Arabidopsis thaliana: one gene and its partners. The protein of the gene in region 3 purifies or fractionates together with the protein of the main gene of each other region. This does not show direct contact. Each region holds a gene or a part of one and is shown on either strand. Other genes may lie near its edges.

Region 1 (6,168 bases), 2.6 Mb from region 3:
TTTAAATCTTCTCTCAGTCTCTATGTTCGTTATTATGGGAGGCTTTAAAGATTTACAAAATACAAGAATTCACTTTCCAATAGATCACTCATTTATAAATTGCTTCAAATCAAACACATTTAATTATAAAATTGTTTAAAAAGTTTGACCTAAAAAAAAAGTGTATTTTAGTGACATGATCAAATCAATTATTTTAAACTTTTCTTATCCACCACCACATTTCTAGATTTTGGAATGATTAAAAAATGCATACATGATGTTTTTATAAGATTTTTACGGTGTTGGTTCTATTTTGTTTTTCTTATTGCCATTTTTTCGATTATTAGTGTTTTGTATGTTAAACTTGCCGATTGTTCCAATTACTATAATATAACAAAAACAAGTTTTAGCTATCGATTTTTCCAAAGTTTTACAACGAAGTTTTTATAAGTTAACATGAAGTAATAATAGTATATGTTTTAAAATTATACGTTTTTTTGTATGAAATTAAATGTTACATTACACTATTAAAGATTCCAATAATTAAAACACATGTTACAATGAGTAAATTTTATTATCAGACAATAAACATCTCTTTGCTCTAAGAAGAAACCTATGCTAGTGAAGCGTTGACTCTGGAAAGATGCAAGTGCAACGTGTCGCTGAAACATTGAAGGCGCGTGTAGAAAAATGTTAAGCTAAAGGGAAGTTCACTTTCTTTAACCAAGTTTTGCGTTTTGCAAATTACAACTAAAGAATCCACTAAAGCTAACCCAACTAAATTCAAACATTTTTCTATGTGATCAGTTTACCATCAAACTATTTCATATTTTTGCAATGTGTAGTAAAAACTTTCTTTGTTACATTATATGCTTCTTTTATAAGCAAAAATACCATATTACATTACATGTTCATTTCATTTTTGTTTGGTATTTGCGCTTACAATTTACAAAATGATTTTGTTTGATACTATTTACATTTACATGTGAAATTATTGTGTTCATCGTAAAACGTTCAAAATTTCTAAAAATTGTAAGAAATTATTGTAAATGTAAACAAAGTCGGTTTCCTATAAAACCACACGTCTGAACCACCTTAATCATCATCACAACATGAAATTACAAAAGCAGCGACTTTGTCGATTGCCGTAGTTTCATTGTAGCATAGATAATCCCGTCACGTGATGTTATCTATTTTTAACTGTTTCAATGTAGTCAGAAAAGCTATTTGTTTGATTTCAGAACTGTTTGATTAGTGGCCATTGAAAAATTCTATAATCTATAGTCAATAGTCTATACACAATTGAAAATGGTATAGTTGATTTTTTAAAATACGCCATTAAATAAAATTATATATAGAACTTCTCTATAATCGATAAAGTCGAACACTCCAGGCAACAAGCGGACCGACCACGGAGTCTAACGTAAGAGTATTATTAGTGATACTGTAGGTTTTCTTTGACTAACGATAAAGAAAAAACAAACATGTTTAATTTCTCGTGTCCTCTATATTCATGAGTCATGACGTTCATACAATTTATTCTTGTTTTAAATGACGTTCATACATCATTTTCATGGTTGTCTATTAGTTCACTAGAAAAACGAAGTCTTGAACGTTGAAGCGAAGCATTGAATATCATTTTATAATTTTATGGACTAAACTATACATTTCAATCATCTTTGCAAAAAAGAAAAAAAAAAATGAGTTAGATCATAAGGAGTCAGGACAACAGCTAGCACAAAAATCTCAAAATCCTATACTGTTTAACCCAAAACAACCGTAGAACAAATATTATTATACACCCAAAAAAAAAAACATATTTGCAATCACATTAGTTTGTAAACACTTCTATTTCGTTCCATAACCAAAAAAAAAAAAAAAAAAAAATCAACATTCAATTTTTTATTTTAAAACATGTTTGCATATGTTCATGGTATGACATTGGGTATTAATCTATCACAGAGAGCTAAAGCCCATATAAATAATAACAGAAGGCCCATATCTATTAATAACCAACTCTTAACCGGTCCATTCTAACTGTTTTTCTCAAATACAAAACACGTGGATAACACGAGGAATTAAAATTGAAGTTAAACACCACACCATGTCGCGTACGAAGCTGCCACATCACTGTTCTATTAACACGTGGCTTAATATGATGCAATATAGACCCACCGATAGCTGGCGCTTTCTAGTTTACCAAGGTGCGACGTACCAGATAACACCACCTCTCCACTTTTGAAAATTAAAACGCTCTCTTTTGGTAATTATTTAGGGAAACTTCGATAATTAATCGAATAATGAAGGACTAATTTGCAGTTTTAAGGAAATAAGTAAGCACACACGTTAGAGAAGAAAGACCGTTCCAGATTGCCACGTCATCGTCTCCTCTCAACGAGTTTCTGCAAAACCTGAAACGTGCTGCACCTTGCCTCTCTTTCTCTCTCTTCCTTCGTTTCTCTCTCGATTTGAAGAGAGAAAATTCGTTCGATTTCGTTTTCTCTTCTTCTTTTGGATTTTCCCGGAAAATTTTGGAATCGGTGAGTCTCTATCGATTACTGGTCAACCATGAATATCTTTAGATTTGCTGGCGATATGAGTCACTTGATCAGTGTCTTAATCCTTCTTCTCAAAATCTACGCGACGAAATCTTGCGCTGGTGAGTTCTCTCTCTCTCTCTCTCTTTCATGAAATGTGTTGTGTATATTTTGAAGACGAGCTCGTAGACGAAACAATCGCATTTTGCTTTGACCTTTTGTTTTCCTTTCCATAGCTTTCAAATGCAATCTTATTTGAATCCTGTTGAGGTCTATTTATCGATTTCGAGGCGAATCCGAGTTGGTAGATTGAAATTGCAAGTCAAAATAGTTGTGAAATCTCAATCTTCGAAACCACTATGGAATTTCTAAACGAGTGAGATCTCTCACCCCTAAATTGCATTAGGTTTAACGGAAAATTGCTACACGGAATGGAAAATGCTTGTAGATGCTCATGATTTTCTCATAGATTGTGCAGCTCCTAACATTGTTGCTGTTGACTTTTGGATTTTGTTGGCTAGGAATCTCTCTCAAGACTCAAGAGCTCTATGCGCTTGTGTTCTTGACTCGGTACTTGGATCTGTTTACGGATTATGTATCTCTGTACAACAGCATCATGAAGATTGTCTTCATTGCCAGCTCTTTGGCTATCGTTTGGTGTATGCGTAGGCATCCACTTGTGAGGAGGTCATACGATAAGGACCTGGACACATTTCGTCATCAGTATGTTGTGTTAGCGTGTTTTGTACTGGGACTTATCCTGAATGAAAAATTCACAGTTCAAGAGGTATTTTCATATGAATTTCACATTGCTTTTGTGTTTTTAGGTTGTAGAGACTAGGAAAGCGAATACTTGTTGTTAGAAGACATGCATATGTTGTGTAATCTTGTTTTTGGTTTATTTATTCATTTGATTCATTCGGTTCCTTCTTCTTATATCATTTGGATTTGGTAACTATCTTGGCTAGTGTAGAATAGAATATCGTCTATGTAAATGAAACTGAACATAACTCCTTCCAGAACCAATTAGGAGTCCGGCGTTTATAGTTTTATTTTTGCTTGTTTAAACGTTGTACTACCTATGTAGCCTCTCACTCGCTGATTGTTTTGAGAAACTCTTTGAATATCAAACTGTTGCATCGTGAAAGGTTTGTTTGCTTCCATTCATGGAATCTTCTGTGTCCTACCTACCTATGTTCCATAAGGTGCCCCATGGATTAGTGTCATCTGTATCTCGCTGTTACTTTTCTGGCCATTGTGTTCTTTGATTATCTTGTCATAAGAAACTGTAGTGACTCCTTATATGCACTTCACTAAGATCGTTTTCCCTTACTACCTTCATATGTATTTTTCCAGTATATGCTCTTGGTAAAGATCTGATCTTTGCAAACTGCCTTCACTCTTTAAGTATTTTTGCAGCATTGTGGCCTCTCTGTGTTGATAGCCAGAATCATTGTGCAATATGTTAATTCTGTGCATTCCAAACCATTTCAGGTGTTCTGGGCGTTTTCTATCTACTTAGAGGCAGTTGCTATCCTTCCCCAGTTGGTTCTGCTACAAAGAAGTGGGAATGTCGACAATTTGACTGGGCAATATGTTGTCTTTCTCGGGTACGTAATTCTAACCAGACATATGCGTTTGCTCACTTGATCTCCACTGGCTTCTCTGTTGGGTTTGTTTTTAGAATTGGTTTATCTTATATATATACTGTGTCTTTCACTGCTCATGCACTTGTTAACTTGATCAATGAGAATCGCTCTCCAGTGTCATTGTGGTGTTTAAAAATCAGTGCATATTTCTAAAGTCCAGACATTGTTTTCCGTTTAATGTTAATGCGTCTGGAAGCTGAGCTGAACTATATTTTTTTCTATAAAGGAAATCAGACTGCTTTACATCTTGCTATGCATTTGGTTCTGATGCATACCTTTGTGTCCAGTGCACAATATTTCAATGTGCAAAATTGAGTAAGTATTCTGTATGCACTCACATGGGCAATGATTAACATGCAGGGCGTATCGGGGACTCTATATTATCAACTGGATCTATCGCTATTTCACAGAAGATCATTTCACTAGATGGATTGGTAATGTTTCAACAAAGAAGCACTAAATGCATTTTAACCATTTGTTTTTCCTCAATGCTAATGTTTTACGTAAATCCATTTTCCAGCTTGTGTGTCTGGTCTTGTCCAAACAGCTCTCTATGCGGATTTCTTCTACTACTACTACATAAGGTAAAGTAACCTCACCAGTCTGAATAATATTCTCTTTATAGTTACTGATCATGTTACTGACTTTGGATCCTTTTTGATTTTGTTGTAGCTGGAAAACCAACACCAAACTTAAGCTTCCGGCTTGAAAAGAACCCGAATTTTTTTGCAATAGTATCAAAATCCAGGAAGTTACAGCAATGGTGACATTAGAAAAGAAAGACATGGTTAACATTTGGGTCCTCCCTCTTTCTAACAATGAGTTGAAAATTGAATGATGCAGGATTGTTGTTTAAAATGTGTTTTTTTTTTAGTCTTTAATGCACATTGTAACTTTCCCGACGATTTTAGACATTGAGAAGAGGCATCGTTTTATCAAAACTAGTCTTTATAGATAACACACAAACTCTGTTTCTTTTGTGCGAGTGTTTAGTTCAAAACTGTAGCTCAGATCAGAGCCAAGTTAACAATGTGTCTTCAAAACTTAAACCTAGTCTTCTTGATTGTGTTTCACTATCTTGGTCTTCTTCTTGTGCTCTCGTGTCTTCTTGCTTCTTAGCTCGTCTTTCTCTTCACCTTCAGAGACTTTTTCTCTACTGCGTTTCTCTTTCTTTGACTTTTTTGTTTTGACCGGAGCCTTCTCAATCTCGTCTTCATTCTCCTCATCGTCTTCACCCTCAAAGACTATTTCTCTACTGCGTTTCTCTTTCTTTGACTTCTTTCTTTTCACAGGAGCCTTCTCTGTTTCATCATCTTCCTGGTCCATGATCGTCATCTTCTCCTCTGTGGCAGCCTCAGCCACTGTGTTTGCTACAGCTGTCTCTGCTTCAACCATGAATCCAATCATTTTACAAACATACTAACAGAGGAATACAAACATAGATGCGATTTGTGAACGGCATTAGAAAACAAACAAACCTTCTCCAGAAAAGCCCGAGTCGAATACAAGACCTGTAAGATGCTGCTTCAAGAAAACCTGCAATAAAACAATGATATATAAGTAAGACTCAACTTCACCAAAAAAATACTAGTCCAAAGGTTGAAGAGCATACCGCAGAAATGAGCTGGCGTGTCTTAACGTCATAAACACGTAAATATCGGTCCAGCCCTAGACAATTCAATTAAAAGAAAAACAGATGAAATTGTTGAACAATTAAATAAAACAACACAAATGAGATTGTTGTTACGGGTTACGGCATATGGACGTTGAAGTTGTGATAATGAATCTTACCGCAAGAAGCTATCACTTGATGCTGTGGATGTCTAACCACAGATCTTATGCTTCCAGAGCATTTTCCTAAAAAGCTTCCCAACAGCTTTCCTGCAATAGAGATGCTCGATTAATTGTTTGATTCAGCAAGCAACATAGTTTATGATACATTTTTAGAGAGAATCAATGAACCTGTTCGTATATCAAAGGAAGCTAGGTCAGCAGAAGCATTC
Region 2 (5,702 bases), 640 kb from region 3:
ATGTTAACGTTGATAGATATACCAATCATATCCGAGAAAACTCTTCCATTTCCAAATCTTCCAGTAGCTTTTCCGCCTATAAAATTTCTACCATACGGAAAGAAATTGCATTTGGAAAGAGTGTTTAGATTGTTGTTATTGCCGGTATCGAGTATCGAGTCTCCGAAAGCGAAAAGTGCTGAAACTGCTACACTTCCTGAAAATTGCTGCGCATAACCAACAAAAAACAAGCAAACAGAAGACAATGCCATTAGCATTGTAGAAAGTAAAGAAAAATTCATGTTTTTTGGTGTCTATGTATATATTGATGAATATTTGTATATCAAATGAAAAGCTGCTATAGTCGACGTCAAAGAAGCTAGTATTTATATACGACTAGTTCGGAAAAGTTGTACATCCAAAATCAACGGGATCTTTATTTTTTAATAATTGGTATCTTGTTTAATTTTGGAAAACAAATCAAATCCAATGAATTAATCTTTGATAATTTGAAGTGATTTGAGTGACTTTAGGTGAGATTATAGGGAATTTTCTTAGTTTAAAATTCAAACATATAAATCTCATGGTTTTAGGTGAGATTTGAGGAAATTTTAGTGACAAATTTCCTAATTCACCAAAATTCACCAAAATCATCTCAAAACTTATTAAAACTCCAATCACTCTAAATTCCTTCTTCAATAAACTCAAATCTTCTGTTTCTGTTTCTGTTTCTTTTATTTTCCTTAATTGCTTATCAAATACTGTATTTAATATCGTCCTTGCAACTATCACTCTAGTCAAAATGATGATTAACGTTCCCTTAATGGCTGGCAGAATAAGAAAGTAAATCAGTGACCTTTAAACACATTAATTTTGAACAGTAATCCGCAAAATAGTTCCAACCGTACAATTGTACTATTCATATATACTCTTAGAATCACAATTTATACATTTCATTAACCTACAATTCTACAAAAATATTATAAAGAAAAACAGATAATTTATGTTATTCCATGGTTGTTAAGATAATTATTAGTTTTAGTGTGCTTATTCTAGACAAATTAAGAACGCAATATTCTGACAAAAATGAATGTGGTGTTCAAAAAGTGCGAGAATTTGGAAATATTAAAGGGATTAGAGGATGCCAGCAAAGAATTTTGAATGTTAACTTTTTTTTCAAACAAGTGGATTTATGATTAAATTGTCTACTCATTCCTCTTCTGCCACACTCTAGCATTTCGCCTACTGGTCATGGCTTTCCTCTACTTGATTCATATGACAAATACTAGCAAAATCATCAAGTTTCGTGTAGCAGGTGCCAACGAAACCGCATTCCAACATATGAATCAAAGTGCACAAGTAAAATGTGACCAAAACCACGAAAGCAGTAGGTGAAATCTTCGATTACAGTTTTACCAAAACTATATAAAAGGTAGTTTTTTTCTAAGTTCTACGTACAATCACAAAATCCATCGACATATCCCAAAAAAAAAAGCAGAACAATAACGAAAACGGAAACCAAAAAAAAAATTCAGATAATGTTTGCCCCTGCATCCAGATTTGCTCAGCAAATCAACTCCACCACGAACTTTCCCTCTACGCCTGCACAACCAGTAACAAGAACACAGAAACAAGAATCACGATTTGCTTCAAAATACTGATCCACAAATCAAAATTGTTGTTTGTGATAATTTACCTTGCCGGCAATGTTGTTGGACAACCAGTCAAGACCTTCGTAAAGCCCCTCGCCTGAAGTGGCACATGTGCTCTGGATGTACCTGGAGAGAGTTCGTAGACATAAAATCAATCAGAGAGGTGATAAATCTTTGGAACTATATCATAAGAAACGTTATGTGCAGGAGAACAAATCAACATGAGGGAAGCAGGGGAGATTATAATGTTTTTATTTACCAGTGACGCTGACGGAGAGAGTGGAGACCAAGCTTATCCGTGATCTCAGCTGCATTCATAGCATTTGGGAGATCCTGCTTGTTAGCAAATACGAGCAGAACAGCATCACGCAGCTCGTCCTGTAAAACCCCGACAAACAGTTTACTGAATCATCTAAACATGAAGAATTCAATACAACAGGCAAAGATATAACACTTGATACAGACCTCATTCAACATTCGGTGCAATTCATCTCTAGCCTCAACAACACGGTCTCTGTCATTGCTGTCCACCACAAAGATAAGACCTTGGGTGTTCTGGAAGTAATGCCTCCACAAGGGACGGATCTGACAACAAGAAGTGGAGGTTTTGCGACATGTGAGTTTGTGTAATTCTATGTTCATCAACAATAATACCAAGACACAGTAGGAAAAAGATCCCCAGGTAGTGATGCAAAAAAAAAAGAATTCTTAATGCTTTAGAGTTGGATAATCTTATACCTTATCCTGACCGCCGACATCCCACACTGTGAAACTGATGTTCTTGTACTCCACAGTCTCCACATTGAACCCTGTCCACAGTTTGTAGTAGTTTAATCATCACGGCAGGTGGAAGACAAAATTTTGTATGAATGGTATGAACAAAGTTGATGGAACTAAGCTTTTGAAACACTGAATTATGAAATGATGTTTAAGCTTACCAATAGTGGGAATGGTGGTTACAATCTCTCCGAGCTTGAGCTTGTACAAAATGGTGGTCTTACCAGCAGCATCAAGACCAACCATCAGAATTCTCATCTCCTTCTTGGCAAAAAGCCTGCTAAAAAGCTTGGCGAATGACAATCCCATCCTGCTTCACTTAACTAACACACAGAAACAGAGTATCAATATCACATAAAGAGAGATCACCAGCGAGAACTCCAAATGTTGACTATAAATCATTAGAATAACGCAGATCGAAACAGATGCAACAACGTTTACAAAACCTCATCGTATAGATCTTGCGGAATTCAGAATCTAATTGAAGCAATTACAACGAGAAAAAGGTGAAATCGAAGATAATGTTCATAGATCCAGACTTGAAACGATGCAGCAGCAGATCGAAATCAGAATTTTCAACCAAAAACATCGAAATCCAAAGCATTACCCAAAGATACAACGGATCATCATAAGAAAAATCCTAAATCGAAGCAAGAATATTCAATTCCCAACCTAAGAACACACTGAAACAATCAAAATTGAGAATGCCTTAGCTCAGATCTAGATCAATAATACCTCTGCGTGAAAGTTTCGGAGCTATCTGAGAGAGAGAGAGAGATCGCGAGAGACGAACAGAATTTGAAAGAGAGAGCTTCAAAACAACGCTAAATGCGCGACGCCGTAATTGCAAAAACGGAAGAAGATCTTTATAGAGGCAAAGGATAAAAACGTCAATTCACATAAATTATCACCGGTAATACCTAGAATACCCCTCGACGAATGTTTTCGTGGAGGGGCCTTGTGCTTACGCGGTTTACATGCGTGATGGGTCATTGGCCGTGGATTGCATCTAACCAATCCAAAACCGCCATGTCATTTTCAACATCTTAAATCATTGACGTTGACTTGTTTTTTTTGTATGTTTCTCTCAATTTTCTTTCTAGAACACAATTGGCAAATACAAATTCATAAAATGTTACGTATGAATATGATCGATAACCAAATTTTAAGATCATAACACCATTTAAAAAATTACATTTTGAGTATGAATATTGGAAGAGTTAACTTGGTTTAAGTAACCAAGATCCAATCTCTAATTTGGTCTAATCAAATAGCAAAAACACATTTGCTCTCAAATACAAAAGTCTAATCTAAACAGTTGGAACAAATGTGCCAATATAACCAACTCCAGCAACAAAAAATGCACAAGACTGTAAAAACAGATAAACATAAAAGTATGATCCTCCATATGCGAAATCGTAACATCCGCAGAAGAATATATATAATCCAACAACGAGTTCTCTCCAGTTGAGTCTGCAAAATGTTAACTAAAATTAGTTACAACATTTCAAAATGCTTAAAAATTGTAATTGTGTGTGTGTTTTTAAGTTAAGAGTACCTTTGTCCAAATCTGGTATAAAGCTTAGTTGTAGCTTTACCTATTAACTTAGACTTGAGAGTGTCACCTAATTTTTCAGTAACAACCCATTCGTTAACCCGTCCTGCCTCTAGTAACCCGATGAATGTCGCTTTTGTGCGATGCATCGACATTACATTCTCGAATAAGATCCAAAAGACAAGAAGATGGAGTGATCTGCAGTAGACAATATATGTCAAACTTTTTATCATACTAGGAAATGAGAAAACAGAGTTTTACTTGAACAGTAGAGATGTTGTTACCGAGGTGTAGCGATTGCGTTAAGGATAGTGATTGTAGTAGGAAAATAAACAGTTGCCCATTTAGGAACTTGGAGCTCAGGGAATAGCACAGTTGTTGGTAATATCAGACAGTAGAAGACAAATGTGAAGATGTGTACTACAATCTTCCTTATGAAGAAGAAATTGTATATGAGATACAATTTCTTCCAGGCCGACACTTTCTTGTTCTGTAAGATTTCCATTGTCATCTTCCTCCATAGATTAGCTGGTCCACAAGACCATCTATGTTGCTGAAACCTGTATGCTTTGAATGTACTTGGCAATTCATTTTTCACCTGAAATGTTAGATTACTTAATAATGTCTTGAATGAAATCTTGTTATGTTTTGCTTGAGTTTAAAAGGGTTATAGTAGTAGTACCTCGACGTCATGGACATAGACAAATTTCCAACCATGAAGACAAGCTCTTACTGCTAAATCCATATCTTCTACGGTTGTTCGATCTTTCCATCCTCCAGCTTCGTTTAAAGCTGCGATTCTCCATACACCCGCGGTTCCATTGAATCCAAAGAAAGCATGTATTGAAGATCCAGATTCTTGCTCAGCCACAAAATGGTAGTTTAGTGACATCTCTTGCATTCTTGTCATTAAGCACTCGTTTGCATTCACTACATGTAACACATTCTCTCCATTAGCCAATTTGACTTAACAAAATAATAACTATTATTTTTCAAAAAAGATATGACTTTACCAAACTTCCAACGGCATTGAACAAGAGAGATTTCATGGTTGTGAATAAGAAAAGGAATGGTTCGTTCAAGAAAGTCAGGATCAGGCTGAAAATCAGCATCGAAAATGGCGACGAATTCGCATTGTTTCACATAGTTGTGCATCATTCCTGCCTTTAATGCTCCTGCTTTGTATCCAATTCTGTTGTCTCTAATCTCTGACATTATGTTTATACCTTTCCTCGCCCATTTATCACATTCCGCATTCACCAATTCCTGTCTTTTCCAAATCATTTCATATGTCAAAAACGTTCCATATATAGTTGAGGAACCAATCATACATATAAACCAAAGATTTTTGGGGGGAAAAAAATTGAACAAAGGACCTTACTAGCTGGATCTGTGGAATCATCAAGTACTTGAACTATCATTCGATCCAATGGCCAAGAAAGTCTACAGGCTGCTCCTATAGATAACTGACAAACCTGTGACAACAACAAGAATTTGATTCCTTCATTAGTATTGTATAATATATGTATATTCATTAAAAAAAATCTTGGTTACAACAAAATCATAATTACCTCTTTTTCATTGTACATTGGGATCTGAATGAGAACCATTGGGTAGTTTGTATTGGCAAGCTCAAGGTCATCATCGTTTATAGGTTCCCACTTGTGTACTTTCTCAGGTGTTCGTCTAAGTAATTTCACAAACACTACTACTATGCTCATATAAACTCTTTCTATGAA
Region 3 (4,981 bases):
TAAAAAGTAGCATGTATTTTGTTGATTCGTTCGCTTGATGATAAATTTTACTTTGCCAAAAATTAATAATGCATAGGCGTAGAAGGAAAAATCAATGTAAAAAGAGATTACAAAAAAAAAAAAGAGTGAATGTAAAATTATATTTACAAAAAAAAAATCTTCTTCCGATGAATGCATTATTCTTTCAAAAGTTTTTAGAAAAAGAAATAGAGATTATGAAACAGAATTAAGCTTGTGATTCTAACTATATCCGAAGGCCATCGTCTCCATATGATTGCGGGGCTGTGTTCACAAGTGACAGAATTTCATATGATGGAGGTGGAAAGTGGTTCGCAGACCTCTTTTTGGCATGATAGATGGTGCGGGCTTGGTCGACTTCATGAGGTTATTGGAGAGAGGGGTTTTATTGATATATGAATCTCAAAAGAGACACAATGTACCGTGGGAACAAGTGAGAAAGTGATTAATGGTAATGGTAATGGTAAGTGTGAGGTTCGTACGATGACGTACGAGAGAAGTAAGAGATTAAGCAAAAGTGAAAGGACTTTAGTTGGATTCATGCTTGGACTTCCATCTTCCATAACTTGGGCTAATGGATTACACCTCTTCATTTTTAAAAACTAATATTCATATTCCAACTTTTATTATTTCTCCTCGCATTAACTTTACATATTTGTGCTATTAAAGTGAGATCCATTGTATAGGTAAGCACGATGACGATATCAGCAAAACAACAGTAGAATTACGATTCAGAAAGAGAGAAAAACATCAAAAATATAAATATTTTACCGTAACTAGGCAATTTAAAATTCACTTATAAATGTTTTGGACAAAATGTTGTCAATAAACTAGTGGAGAATGCTTAGATGACCTAACCAAATGTATTTGGTTCTTCTTCCATTATGAATACACACACATATTATAATATGTTGGATCTGATGTCTAACTGTTCCCACACATGATAGAAAAGGACATAACATACAATAAGCTTGTCTACATGATAAATCAGATTTGTCTTCTTTGCAAGAATTACGCCACGCAATTTTAGTTTACTTTAATCTTGATTTATTAGCACCATTAATCATAAATAAACATGTTAACTAACATTCATATTTCTGATAACAAAATTACCCCAAAATGCCTGTGAAAGAAAGAACTTTTGGTACATTGTCACATTACCTGTATTTTTTTTTTTAACTCCAAAAGAGATCAATCAAAACACAAAAGTGACTGTGCACAAACTCAATGATCTCTAACTATCGACAGTAGTAAAGTTTCACAGAAAATATAAATGAAAACGCGTTCTTCGATTTTTTAACCAATTCAACTCTACAATCTTGAGCTTATCCCTCTTTTCAAGGTAGGGATGTGTGATGTTACTAATATATAGTAAGAGTATCCTTCAGGCCAAGTTTCTAGATAAGTTTCTTCTTGTGGAAATACCTCTTCAGATACAGTATCTGTGAACCCACAACCACAACGCAAACCCCGAGTGACATTATACTGAACCAAGCCACTCTTGAGTTGGTTGTTTCACTCACTTCTCGCATCTCCGCTTCCCTGCATCCAAAGTTTTCGTTTTATCACTATGTTCTTGTTTCCCGAAGTTCAATAGATACCACTTAATCGCAGCAAGGCGAAAGAAACACACCTGTCTTTTATATAGTTTAAGTTCTCACGAATCGACAGCACCAACCCTTCAAGTCTCCTCAACTGAAGCTCAACACCCTGCAGATACACATTCACAAGAGTTGAGTTTTCACATCAGAGAGGGAAAGATGTTTACATAGAAGTGAAAAGAAGACTTGCCTCGATCTTTTCCTTTTTAGCAACAGAGTCCCAGTCTTTAGCTGCAATACCCATCTTCCAATCAACCCCAAGGGTTATAGGATTGGCTAAGTGATGACTGGAATCAATCCAGAAACAAGCCAAGTAGTTCCCAGCTTCTTGAGTTGTGAATGCAAACTGACCATGTGTTACATTTTCTTGGTGATGAAGATTGTTCCCATACGGAGATGTTACCTATCCAAACCAAATCACAGAAAATTCAAGACACCATACAAAAATCTTATGACAATGATTAGCTTTAAGAACATCCAAACCAAATCTGCAAATATAAAGCCACATTAACATGCAACAACAAATCTGCATCTTTAAAAAATTTCAAAACTTTATACATATCAATGAATATGATCCGTAACAAGTCACCGACAGAGAATTCACAGTTTGATGATTAAACCACATAACAAAACCATTAAAACCCTAAAAATCGAAGTAAAGACGCGCAAAATTGAACCAATCAATCTCCTACAAAAGATTCAATTTTGAAGCGATTCAATTCCAAGCACAATAGGAACCTTACCTTAGAAGAAACAGCAGGTGTATTTTCAGGATTATGCTCATCGACGACATAGTAATCAGCCAAAACGACGACGTTGCTCTGTATCTCCTCGGAGACACACTTCGTTCCACCCGTCGTCGGAATCGTCAACCATATAGCTTCGCCGTAATTAACCGTCAGAAAGAACAAGACTACCGTCAGAAACAGAGAACCATGAGCAATTCTGTTAATAGCCATCGGAGAACAACGATGGTCTTCTTCTCCTTTTTTTTTTTTTGGTCTCAAGTCCAAGCCAAGGAAGGTCAAAGTCCAAAAAAACCAAACACAAACGAAGACAAGAGAGACTCCACGCGCGCGTGTGAGAGTGTGGGAGGTTTTAAGAGCATTTTGATGGGTTTCGGTGACTTGTTTCAACGTAAGATGAGCCAATCAGATTCTGAGGAATTGTCTACGTGGCGTGTCTTTTAAGGAGGTGGCGCGTCATTATGTTGACCTTTACCTGCTTAATGATTTAGAGGGTTCCGTTTACCATTTTTGTTATTTTCCTCTCAAAGTGGATTTTGCATTTAATTTTACCATCGTCTATAGTTTGTAGAGTGAAGAATTTGAGCCAAAGATTACAACTTACAAGTATAAACATTGAATGAGAAATTATTGAACCAAGAGGCTTATTGAATTGAAAACAAATTATTGGGTTTATTTTGTTTTGTTATCATTTAAATCACAAATTGTGTATAACAATACCCTGCTATTAGATAAATCATTTCATAAAACACATTTTTGTGTTATACTAAGTTAGTCTACAACTTTATATAACATTTTTGTGGCATATTAATAGATGAATTAATATTTGCTGATTTTTGTAAATGCAAACATAAAACAAAAGAAGGAATTAAAATATTTCGTATTGAAATAAATGGGCCCCCATTACAAAATGACTTTCAAATGGGCCAACGAGTATTTATATGGCTGATGATATATAATCTTTGGGCTTGTTATTTGTCATCTTCCCATAAGGAATTGTTACCTTTACTTCTTTTCTTTTTTGTTTTCCTTTTGATAGATCTTTACTTGTTTCTTCTGCTCCCTCCTGTTTGTATAACTAACTATTTACAGAGAATTTTGTTAAATACTTCGAGAACATGCAAAGAGAAGATGTATATATATATTTCTGCTAGAGTGAACAAATATGTGATCGGGGTTTATAGCTTAGTCATTTTTCGTCTCATAGTCATATATAAATCTAATTCATAAAAATATTGTGAATTATGTAAACGGAAAATAAATTATATATGAATTTATAAACCAAAACAAATATGTATGGGGTCTATCATATTTTATGTCCCCACATCATTTTTAACATTTTCAAAACCGACTAAATCATAGATCTGTGAGATATACAAAAGAAAAGGATTTGGTGGTTGAACCTAGTTCACTGGATCCATTATACATGGTTGAACCTTCAACGTACATCTTTAATGAAAAAAAATATGAAAAACAAAAAACATTCAACGTATACTATTTCATCTTCCTCGAAATTTCCTTGCCATGCGCTGTAGTATTGTAATCCTCCAAATTTGTTACGATAAATAGTACACCAATAATAAATGTTGAAACTATTGAGGTTGAGATTGTATCGTGGTGATATTGTTGAGTCATTTGTTGGGAACTGGTACGGAGAGAGTACGGTACCACCAATTAATACATACAGTTTATTGGATTTTCCATTTATCAAGAAAGATCCATTTTGTTTTAATTTTTGTTTGTTTGTTTGTTTGTTAAAGCAAATATGTTTGTACTGCAATGTTTGTTTACTTGCCTTAGCCTTTACTTTAGGCTTGCATGTCTGAATATGTCTATTCATGTGTAAGTGAAACATCTTGACAATCCTAAAACCTATCGTAAAATATAATGAACATGGTCAATCCACTCGACATCAATTAGTCATAAAAGCCTATAAAATTGATGCATTTCTAGTTTAGTGTATCATTTTCAAAATTCAAAAGAGGAGATTACATTCGAGTAAGTGTCAAATATGAAATAAGCTACGTGTTAAAACTCAAAAGTTAAAATTGAAAGAAGCCACGATCGAGATGCTTCTTCTCGTCATGCAAACGCATGTTTTGGCTGGAAAGCTGACAAAATCCGCCCATATTCTTTCTCGCTCTCTTTATCGAACTGACATCTTGGAGAGTTTTGCTTAAGACCAAAGTGTGAAATCTAAAGACGAAGACAACAAATTAAAGTACCATATCCCATGATTAATCTTAAGCTTTGTGAGAAAGTCAAGGCTGTCCACAAAGAACATGTCATCTCCCATCTTTTCTTACATACGATCATGTGCTCGTTGCGTGTCCTAAAGTTTTATATGCTTTATTTATTTATTTTTATATTTTCCCCCTTTTTCAATTGTTTATACTTTATATCAATCTTTAGCATATGTTCGTATAAATTATGTTGGTATATATTAAAGTTACGTAAGACAAAATTTATTAGAATTCGAAATCCTAACTCGACAAAACGAGTTAAATTGAGCTTTATTTGATTTTCTATATTCTAAAATAGAATGACTCAAAGACAAATTGTGTATATATGTATATATATAATTTTAATAACACAAGTTGTATGTGGAGAAAACGA

Evidence for each region.
Region 1: the proteins of p24delta5 (region 3) and ERD2 purify together in Arabidopsis thaliana (affinity purification with western blotting, with the first as the bait; one study listed by BioGRID). This does not show direct contact.
Region 2: the proteins of p24delta5 (region 3) and ARF1 purify together in Arabidopsis thaliana (affinity purification with western blotting, with the first as the bait; one study listed by BioGRID). This does not show direct contact.

The regions. Positions count from the first base shown.
Region 1 is NC_003070.9:10,257,286-10,263,453, reverse strand, and holds ERD2 (ER lumen protein retaining receptor family protein), read left to right. Parts: upstream 1-2,221; 5' UTR 2,222-2,547; coding exon 2,548-2,638; intron 2,639-2,645; exon of another isoform or gene 2,646-2,892; intron 2,893-3,037; coding exon 3,038-3,303; intron 3,304-4,010; coding exon 4,011-4,126; intron 4,127-4,525; coding exon 4,526-4,599; intron 4,600-4,685; coding exon 4,686-4,749; intron 4,750-4,837; coding exon 4,838-4,874; 3' UTR 4,875-5,206; downstream 5,207-6,168. Other genes in the region: AT1G29320 (Transducin/WD40 repeat-like superfamily protein), read right to left, coding at 5,216-5,550, 5,644-5,701, 5,778-5,833, 5,957-6,046, 6,128-6,168. UniProt on the Arabidopsis thaliana protein: Required for the retention of luminal endoplasmic reticulum proteins. Determines the specificity of the luminal ER protein retention system. Also required for normal vesicular traffic through the Golgi. This receptor recognizes H-D-E-L.
Region 2 is NC_003070.9:8,334,247-8,339,948, reverse strand, and holds ARF1 (ADP-ribosylation factor 1), read right to left. Parts: upstream 3,357-5,702; 5' UTR 3,144-3,356; intron 2,732-3,143; 5' UTR 2,718-2,731; coding exon 2,570-2,717; intron 2,441-2,569; coding exon 2,370-2,440; intron 2,217-2,369; coding exon 2,097-2,216; intron 2,010-2,096; coding exon 1,891-2,009; intron 1,758-1,890; coding exon 1,676-1,757; intron 1,582-1,675; coding exon 1,576-1,581; 3' UTR 1,122-1,575; downstream 1-1,121. Other genes in the region: AT1G23500 (GDSL-like Lipase/Acylhydrolase superfamily protein), read right to left, coding at 23-281; CSLA03 (cellulose synthase-like A3), read right to left, coding at 3,719-3,881, 3,967-4,161, 4,248-4,561, 4,646-4,893, 4,977-5,229, 5,340-5,438, 5,535-5,702. UniProt on the Arabidopsis thaliana protein: GTP-binding protein involved in protein trafficking; may modulate vesicle budding and uncoating within the Golgi apparatus.
Region 3 is NC_003070.9:7,689,750-7,694,730, forward strand, and holds p24delta5 (emp24/gp25L/p24 family/GOLD family protein), read right to left. Parts: upstream 2,711-4,981; 5' UTR 2,579-2,710; coding exon 2,363-2,578; intron 2,023-2,362; coding exon 1,810-2,022; intron 1,729-1,809; coding exon 1,652-1,728; intron 1,561-1,651; coding exon 1,416-1,560; 3' UTR 1,053-1,415; downstream 1-1,052. UniProt on the Arabidopsis thaliana protein: Involved in vesicular protein trafficking. Mainly functions in the early secretory pathway.